Linked DNA regions of Oryctolagus cuniculus. The protein of the gene in region 2 purifies or fractionates together with the protein of the main gene of each other region. This does not show direct contact. Links are inferred from orthologs where the notes say so. Each region holds a gene or a part of one and is shown on either strand. Other genes may lie near its edges.

The links. Proteins that work in one complex are often made in the same cells at the same time.
Region 1: the proteins of DYRK1A (region 2) and RBL1 purify together in Homo sapiens (affinity purification with mass spectrometry; 3 studies listed by BioGRID and IntAct, with this or other methods). This does not show direct contact. The link is inferred for Oryctolagus cuniculus from reciprocal best matches to the Homo sapiens genes DYRK1A and RBL1.

What each region holds. Positions count from the first base shown.
Region 1 is NC_091442.1:21,478,269-21,482,118, forward strand, and holds the end of RBL1 (retinoblastoma-like protein 1), read left to right. Parts: exon of another isoform or gene 1-43; intron 44-732; coding exon 733-897; intron 898-2,339; coding exon 2,340-2,510; 3' UTR 2,511-2,836; downstream 2,837-3,850. UniProt on the Homo sapiens protein: Key regulator of entry into cell division. Directly involved in heterochromatin formation by maintaining overall chromatin structure and, in particular, that of constitutive heterochromatin by stabilizing histone methylation.
Region 2 is NC_091435.1:7,581,440-7,586,836, forward strand, and holds the start of DYRK1A (dual specificity tyrosine-phosphorylation-regulated kinase 1A), read right to left. Parts: upstream 3,323-5,397; 5' UTR 2,514-3,322; intron 1,984-2,513; exon of another isoform or gene 1,909-1,983; intron 1,833-1,908; exon of another isoform or gene 1,767-1,832; intron 1,192-1,766; exon of another isoform or gene 1,068-1,191; intron 1-1,067. UniProt on the Homo sapiens protein: Dual-specificity kinase which possesses both serine/threonine and tyrosine kinase activities. Exhibits a substrate preference for proline at position P+1 and arginine at position P-3.

The DNA.
Region 1 (3,850 bases), on a different chromosome or scaffold from region 2:
GGTGAGATTGGAAAAAAAGAAAAATGTATCTTAAAAATTTTACTTTGGGGCCGGCGCTGCGGCTCACTAGGCTAATCCTCCGCCTAGCGGCGCCGGCACACCGGGTTCTAGTCCCGGTCGGGGCGCCGGATTCTGTCCCGGTTGCCCCTCTTCCAGGCCAGCTCTCTGCCGTGGCCAGGGAGTGCAGTGGAGGATGGCCCAGGTGCTTGGGCCCTGCACCCCATGGGAGACCAGGAAAAGCACCTGGCTCCTGGCTCCTGCCATCGGATCAGCGCGGTGCGCCGGGCGCAGCGTGCCGGCCGCGGCGGCCATTGGAGGGTGAACCAACGGCAAAGGAAGACATTTCTCTCTGTCTCTCTCTCTCACTGTCCACTCTGCCTGTCAAAAAAAAAAAAATTTGGGAACAGGCATTTGGCGTAGTGATTAAAATCCTACTGAGGATGCTTGCATCCTATATCAGAGTGCCTGGGTTTGAGTCCTAGCTCTGCTCCTGATTCCAGCTTCCTGTTACTGTGCACCCTGGGAGATAGCAGGCGATGGCTCAAGTACTTGGGTCTTTGCAACCTGGAAGACCTGAGTTGAGTTCCCAGCTTCAGCCTAGCCTAGCCTTGGCCATTGAAGGCATTTGGAGATTGAGCCAGCAGATGAGCATGGCGTCTGTTTGTCTGTTTCTCTCCCTCCCTCCCACTTAAAAAAATAAAAACAGAAAGTCTGGCTTTTGGTTTATTCCAGATGGATGTGCCACCACTCTCTCCTTTTCCTCATATTAAGCAACAGCCAGGCTCACCACGCCGTGTTTCCCAGCAGCACTCTATTTATGTTTCCCCACACAAGAATGGGTCTGGCCTCACGCCAAGGAGCGCCCTGCTCTACAGATTCAACGGCAGCCCTTCTAAGGTAAGGTGCACACAGATTTCGTCATTTATATACATATAAATACATATACAATAATACAAATAATAAATAAAAATATACAGATACAAATAAATACATAAGTTATCCATCAGTAATGAATCTTGGTTTTTGTTTTGGCAAATTATTACTAATAAAGTATGGATTTTTAACAATGATGTATTACCAATGATCAAGACCAATATGTTAAAAAAAAAAAAAAAAAAGACAGTATCTCAGTTGAGGTAGTTGAATCCACTGCTGTTGACGAGCTACTGTATAGCATGTACAGTGTGATAGTCCAGTGATTCTCTCCAGTGTTCAAGCTTGAGGGACCAGTGAAAAAGACCTGCAAGTGGTTAGACATGCAGGATGGTACACGTGCAGGCTTAAAGAAAGTTATGGTCTGCTTGACTGATGGCAGCCAGGAAGTCTGGAAACAGAGGCCTTCTGTATTCCACGTGGACATCTCTGTGCTAATCTCCCTCTCCCCGGTACGATGAAGAAGCTGGGTCAGGGACACGTTTGCTATCTCCAGGTATTTAAAGGACTTTCAAGCAAATAAGTTTAGTATTTCGACAAAAGCTAGAATTCTTATCAACTGGAAGAAATTATAGTGAGGCAGATTATAATTTCAGTCTACATTCAGTAGTAGCATAGCTCCTCAGTCTCCTGTTCACAAACACCCATTGCTTTCTCGCTGTGCTTAGAAAACAGAGTTGACTGGGATGTGGTGTGTCTCAGAATGTTTTTCTTGATAGAAATTCATTTCCAGTAAGTATGTTTAGAAGAGAATGTTGCATAATATTGAAGATTGGAACAGTTGACTCCTGAGACAGTGATTTTGAAATTATAAATCAGAATCACTCGGGGAGTGAACTGGTGGGTGGACGACGGATCTCCCTCCCTCTCTCCCTCTCTCTCTCTCTCTCACCCTCCCTCTCTCTCTCCCTCCCTCCCTCTCTCTCTCTCTCTCACCCTCCCTCTCTCCCTCCCTCCCTCCCCCCTCCATCTCTCTCCCTCTCTCCCTCTCTCCCCCTCTATCCCTCTCTCCCTCTCTCTCTCTTTCTACTGCTCTGTCTTTAAAATAAATAAGTAAATAAGTCTTTAAAGATAGATTGCTCAATCCCACCCCCAGAATGCGTGATTCAACAGTTATAGGAGAGGCTTGAGATTTGCATTTCTGACAACTTTGTAGCTGCTGCTGCCGCCTGGAATCTGGGGACTATTATTTTCAGAACTACAATCATAAGGAAATTCAGTTTTTAAAATTTACCAGAAAGAATCAGTTCTACCCGCCTTTATTAGGTTCATCTAGATTAAAAACATAATCTCTCCCCCAGTGTGTAGATTTAGAGAACAGAGAAGAGGAAGAAAGCCACTTAGCTTGTTTGCAGCAGTTTCCCTTTCCCTCCCATTTTACTCACAGCTGTCCTCTGTTTTTGCAGAGTTTGAAAGATATCAACAACATGATAAGGCAAGGTGAACAGAGGACCAAGAAGCGAGCAATAGCCATTGACAGTGAGGCAGAATCACCTGCCAAACGCCTCTGTCAGGAAAATGACGATGTTTTGCTTAAACGACTACAGGATGTCGTCAGTGAGAGAGCGAATCACTGACTTCATCTGTTTCTGATAAAAGCACTTTCAGCTTCTGCAGAAATCTGGGGCTCCGTCCTCCACACTTTTTGGCCTTGTGGATGGTAAATATCACTGGGCTACAGGAAACACTGAACCAAAATTAAGCGCTTTTTTAAAAAGCATTTGTCTAAAATGTAGTTGACAAAGATGTATTTTGAGTTGAATTGAAAACTAATGTTTTTGGGACCGGCGCTGTGGTGTAGCGGGTAAAGCCACTGCCTACAGTGCCGGCATCCTGTGTGGGCACGTTCAAGACCCAACTGCTCCACTTACAATCCAGCTATCTGCTATGGCCTGGGAAAGCAGTGGAAGATGGCCCAAGTCCTTGGGCTCCTGCACCTGCATGGGAGACCCTGAGGAAGCTCCTGGTTCCTAGCTTTGGATTGGTGCAGCTCCTGCCATTGCAGCCAATTCAGGAGTGAACAGAGGATGGAAGACCCCTCTCTCTTTCTGCCTCTGCCTCTCAAATAATAAATCAATAAATCTTAAAAAAGGAAAGGAATGTTTTAAGTGCCTTTTTAAAATAGTAGTCGTAGAATTTTTAAATGTTTCCTGGATTTTTTTTTTTTTTTTTTTTTTTTTTGGACAGGCAGAGTTAGACAGTGAGAGAGAGACAGAGAGAAAGGTCCTCTTTTTTCCGTTGATTCACCCCCCAAATGGCTGCCATGGCCGGTGTGCTGCGCCGATCCGAAGCCAGGAGCCAGGTGCCTCCTCCTGGTCTCCCATGCAGGTGCAGGGCCCAAGCACTTGGGCCATCCTCCACTGCACTCCCAGGCCACAGCAGAGAGCTGGCCTGGAAGAGGAGCAACCAGGACAGAATCTAGCGCCCCAACTGGGACTAGAACCTGGGGTGCCGGTGCCACAGGTGGGAGGTTTATCCAAGTGAGCCGCGGTGCTGGCCTGGATTAGTTTTTAGTATTAAGAAAAACTCCAGAGTTTTTCAGCTCTCTTTTCAAAACAATCAAATGTCTTCTATGCTTTGTAATATAAGGCTAAATAACCTATTTTTGGTAAGTATGCTTTGAGATTTGTATTTTCAAGTTAATCTTGAAGGTAAGAATTGGTTCCTGTAGTGTCTGGCCAGAGGATGAGGCACTGGCCTGTGTCCGGCCCTCTGTGGCAGCTCCAGTCCAGGTGCCACTCCTGCTCCTGGTTGTCCAGAACCCTGCCTGCGCCCTTCCTGCCCTCAGCAGGAGCAGACTTGCACCTGAACCCCTGCCTCACCCCTCACTCCTGCCTCTCCACCCTGAGCCCTCTTTGCTAGGTGTCAAAAGCCAATAAAAGGGGTGCTTGCTCCTTTTTAAAACTACGAGCCTTTT
Region 2 (5,397 bases):
GAGTCACTGCACGCAAGTCGTTCCGAAATTTGCTAGTTAGAACCTAGCCAGCCCCCTGGCTCCGGGAGCCCCAGCTGTGTGACCTTGGAGGAGTCACTGCCCGCTCTCCGGGCTCAATGTGCCCATCTGTAAAATGGGTTAACACCTCCTACCGGCAGCACACGGGGTAAAATATCCCCAAAGCCGTGAGAGGAGTGCCAGCCACCATCTGCCCTAATCTCTACATGCGGAAAACAATGCAGACGGGGGTCTCTTCCGACCGTCGGGGCGGAATTCCAGAAGCAAACGGTGCTGGCATTCCAGCGCTGCACCTGCAGTATGGGAGTCCTAGGATCCAGGGACGGGCGAAAGGCACAGGCAACCACTGACTCACTAATTTTGCCATTTTTAACTGTTTCAGGCTGGAGGGGGCGGGGGGAGGCCTTCGCCGAATGCTCAGACAGTCGGCGGCCCCGGTGCCTGCGAAGCCTCGGCGGGTCTGTGCCTATAAATAGACTCGCGAAGTTTTGTAGCAATACACAGGTATCAATTTTAATTCGCGTCTCCGCGGCGGCTTAAGCAGGTCACCGCTCCCCCGCACTCCGGCCCCAACTTCCGAGCACGCCGCGTCCCCCGCCCCACCCCCACCCGGCGCGGACCCCCGAGGGCCGCCGAGCCAGCGGGCCCCGACCTTCGCCGGCGCCCGGCGCGGCCCCGCTTCCCTTAACCCGTGCATTGTCCTTGCGAAGAACCCCGGCGGCTCCCACACTGGTGGGGACCTAGAGGAGGGACGAGGGAGGAGCTGGGGGAAGAGGATGAGGAGGAAGAGGAGGAGGAGGAGGAGGAACACAGCCTCCTCCCTCCGCCCCGGCGACCAGAGAAGGCCCGGCTCCCGGGAGGCCGCGGCCCCCGCTCCCACCCTCCGCAACTTTCCCTCCGCGCGCACCCGCCGCCCCGCCGGGACCCGGCTGCGGGCTCCCTCCCCCGGCGGCCGGCCCCGGGCCCCGCGGCGCCTCCTCCTAAAATGGCAGGTCCCTCCCTCCGCCGGGCCCGGCGGAGCCGAGCGCCGGGCCGGGCCGGACACTCACCGGGACGATGGCGGGGCGCTCGCGCCGCTCCCTCCGGTGAGTCTCAGCCTCGGGCTCCCGCGCCGCGCTCCCGCCGCGGCCTCCGCAGCCAGCGCCGCCCCGGCCGCCTCTCGCCGCCCCCGGCGCGGCCGGCTCCTGGCCGCGCCGCAGCCTCCTCAGTCTCTCGCGCTCGCGGGTCCGGCGGCGCCGGGGGCCGGGGCGGCGACAGCCCCCTCCCCGGCAAATACCGCAGTCCCCGGGCCCCGAGTCCCGGCGGCGGGGCCGCGCGGAGGGCGGCGGCGGCGGCGGCGAGGCCGGGCGCCGAGTGGCGGCCGCTGCCGGCGGCTTCTTCCCGAGGAGGATTTTGTAAATCGCACAAAATGGCGCGCGCTCCAAACCTGCGCAGCGAGGAGCGCCGGGCCCGAGCGGCGGCGGCGGCGGCGGCGGCGGCGGCTTCTCCGCCAGGAGCGCCCGAACCGCCCGCCCCCGAGCGCCCGCACAGACAGACAGACACTCGCACACGCACGCACGCCCGCTCGCTCGCACACACACACTCGCACACTCACACCGGTCCCGCCCGCCCGCCCGCTCGCTCGCTCGCTGGCCGGCGGCGGCAGCGGCACCACCAGCAGCAGCAGGAACAGCAGCAGCAGAAGCGGCGGCGGCAGCGGCGGCGGCGCCCGCACCCCCCGCTCGGGGTGTCCGCTCCCCGAGCCCGACCTGGGCCGCGATCAGCAGCAGCGACGGCAGCAGTCTCCCCGGATCCCCCCGCCGCGGTTGCCGCCGCCACCCCCGCCTCACTCCAATGGGGCTTTTTATTATTATTCGGGCGGGAAGCGAAAGGGTTTAAAAAAAAACCAACCAACAAAATGGCGACGGACCGACCCGGTCGCTATGGCAACTGTCAATCAAAACGCAAAACCCCGGCTGACGTGCTGACGTCCTCCGCCCGCCCCCCCGGCCCCAAGCCGGCGGGCGGGGCTTGTTGCCCGGGAAACGGCAGACTTCGTTCCCTCCTTTCCTGCTCCCCCTCGGTCCCCAGCCAACCACCCAACCCCCCTCAGGTCACGTGAAGGATAAATTCGGAGCTCGGGCCCGCTACGAGTGTCAGAGGAGGGCGCGTGATTCGCTCGGGGGAGGGGTGCGGAGGGGGACGGCCGGGCCGAGGGAGGGAAGGGGAAGGGGGCGAGGCGGCGGCCGGGCCCGTGCGCGAGCGCCCGCCGCCTCCCCGGCCGCCTCGCCCCGCCCCGCGCCCGCCGCGCCCGCGCCGACTGCGGCCCCGGGAGCGCGCGCGGCCTCCCGCGCTTCCGCGTCGGGCGCCCGCAGCCCCGCCCGCGCCGGGGGGAGGGGCGCGCGCGGCCGCGGGGCGGGGTGGGGGGGCGCGGAGAGGGGCCGGGGCGCCGGGGCCGCCGCCGGGCGGGAAGCCGGGAAGCCCACCCCCGCGCGCCCGGGCCCGAGGGCTCTCACCGCGGTGCGGCCGCCTGCATTCCCGGGGAGCGCGCCGGCCGCGCACGGCCGCGCGGAGGAGCCGTTCTCGGAAGGGCTCGCGGCCCCCCTCGCCGGAAAATGCCCACGGAGGCCGCGGCGGGGGCGGGGAGGAGGCCGCCCGCGCGCCTCAGACATCCCAGGAATCCCGGGCGCCGCGGCCGCATCCGGGGTGCCCCTGCGGCTGACGCGCGGCCGGGCCCTGCCACGTGGGACCCACGTCCGAGCCTCCGGGCCGGCGCGCCCCCTCCCACTGCAGACCCCGCGTGGGTGCCGAGCCCGTCCTGCGCTGCCCGCGGCCGGAGCCCTTCCCTAACATCCGGCTCCTGGTGCATTAGCCCGTGGACCCCTCCCCATGCTGGGCGTGCTGGGAATTGTCTGCTGTGCCACCCCCGCCCCCCCAGGTAATGGTGTTTAATCAGCGTTCGTCCGGGCTTGCACGCAGCGAAAGTCGCTAATCTGGTGGTTGATTTCTAAGCCTGACTTTGCCGTGTGCAGGTAGTGTCCGTGTCGGGGTCTTGGGCTCAGTCTCTTCACAGACTAGCCACAGACACAATCTGACAGACGACACAGGTGTAAGAGGAGAAATCCCAATGAAAGCCTCCAGCCTGTGTAAATTTCCAGCAGAATTCCCCTCCCACAGTCTGCAGGTACAGCACTGATATATTAAGGCGATCATTCAAATGAGCAAAGGCCCTGAAGTAATCAGACCAGACCTTAAATAAATTTGGCAAAAAAAAAAAAAAAATTAGGCAAGTGGTTAGCTTCAGACTGATTCTCATGACTGGTTAAAAAAAATAAAAGTTCTGGATTGCTGGTGTTTTCAAACTTGCCCTCCTAATGTAATTGAGGTCTGCATACAGCTTCGCATCTAAGGAAGAGGAAGTGGCCAACAGTGTCCCTATTCATGAAAGAGGTTGTCACCCAGTGCTTCCCAAGCTCAAACTTCCACCTGGAAGACAACCCCTTCCTCCCTCCACCTGCTCTCCTGCCTTCTCCCCACTCCAGCCCATCCGCCAAGGTTTCACTGCTGCCGGACACTTGAGCAAGTGCCACCTTGACCACTAAGTTATTCCCGAGTCAAGTTTTCATTGCTAGCAATGGAGGAAGCTTGCATAATGCACATCTAAGTAACCGAGACAGAATAGGACAAGATCGCCGGGAGTAGATCCTCGCCTCAGATGGGTCGAGGGGCTCATGGGATGAGGGAAGTCTTCAGGTCGTAGGCACACAGGGGTCAGAGGCGTCCCCAGTGTTCCCGTGTAGAACGCTGCTCATTTCTCTCCCAGCGTGACTGCCTTAGACAGCATCGCACTGCGTGCCCAACGGGTTTTGTGTGGGCTTCCCCTAAACACTACCAGCAAGTTATGGCTGGCACCAAACAAGAGAACACACGTAGCCAGGAAGGACGCTGGTATGGATGCCAGTGTGGTGCAGAGCTGAGAGACCCTCCCCGTGGGTTTCGCTTAGAGGTGTTTGATGGCCTAAGAAAATCCGGAGAAGCAGAATCCCCCAACTGGCAGTTACTATCGGCTTGCACTTCTTCCCACGCCTGTTAGAGGTCTCATCCTCACTATAACATTGTATCTCGGTTATACGGCTGAGAAAGCAAGCCCTGAAGTGACTCTCCCAAAGCCGGCCCACCCGTGAGCAGGGGAAGTCAGAATTCAAACCCAGGTGTGGCTGTAAAGGCTGTGTTTCGGCAGACTGTTTGGAAGCAGAGTTGTCACAGAGATAACCCTGACTAAAGGAGGTCTCTATGATGTGCCCTGGTCCCAGATGACTGGTGCCAGTGTTCTTATCTCTGCGCTCACAATTTCTGACACCCCTGATGTTCTTACAGACAAGTGAAGCCCTTCATCGCCCTGCTTGTACAAGCGTTATTCACTGTTCTGACTTTGGGGCCTGCCATGTGGCACAATCAGTTAAGCCTCTGCCTGCAGCACCAGCATCCCATAGGAGTGCAAGTTCAAGTCCTGGCTGCTGCACTTCCAATCCAGCTCCCTGCTAATGCACCTAGGAAAGCAGCAAAGATGGCCCAAGTTTTTGGGCCCCTGGACCCAAGTGGGAGGCCTGGAAGAAGCTCCTGGCTTCAGCTTGGCCCAGCCCCGGCCATCGTGGCCATCTGGGGAGTGAAACAGCAGGTGGAAGACCTCTCTCTGTGTCTCTCTCTCTCTGTCTCTCTCTCTCTCTGTGTAACTCCGACTTTCAAGTAAATCAATAAATCTTTTTAAAACGTTGTTCTGACATTAAAAGTAATTCATGAATATAAAAACTTATTAAAAAGAAGCAAAGTTAAAATGAGAGAGGCCCTATATAAACTCACAATAGGGGTATGCTATGAACCAAGAAGTTAATAAGCAACTATATCCAAGTTCCAAACAAAAACTAAAAATTAGATTCTGGTAATTACCAACAATTTTACCATACAGAAAACAGTAAGTAGGCTAGGATCACCAGTAGGCATCACTCAGGAACACACCCCCTTTGTATGTTCATAACAGCATCCACCCTTCCGGACTTTCTTAAGAAGACATGTGTGCACTGACACACATTTCACACCAGCAGGTGTGTTCATGCCTTGTCTAATTACAATTGTGCTATGAACTCATTTTTGTATTAAACAATTGAAATTTAAATAATAACATTAATAGCAGTTAGTATTCCATCGGTTGAATGAGCCGTCATTCACTAAGCCTCCTCTATATTTTAAGGAAGTTTCCATTTTTTCTTGTTATTACAAAAAAAGTTGTATAAACATCACATATATATATTAAACATATATACAGACACACACAGAGTTATTTCTCCCGGATAAAGGGAGAAAAGTCCTTAAAAAAAAAAGTTGGACTCATGTTGACAAAGA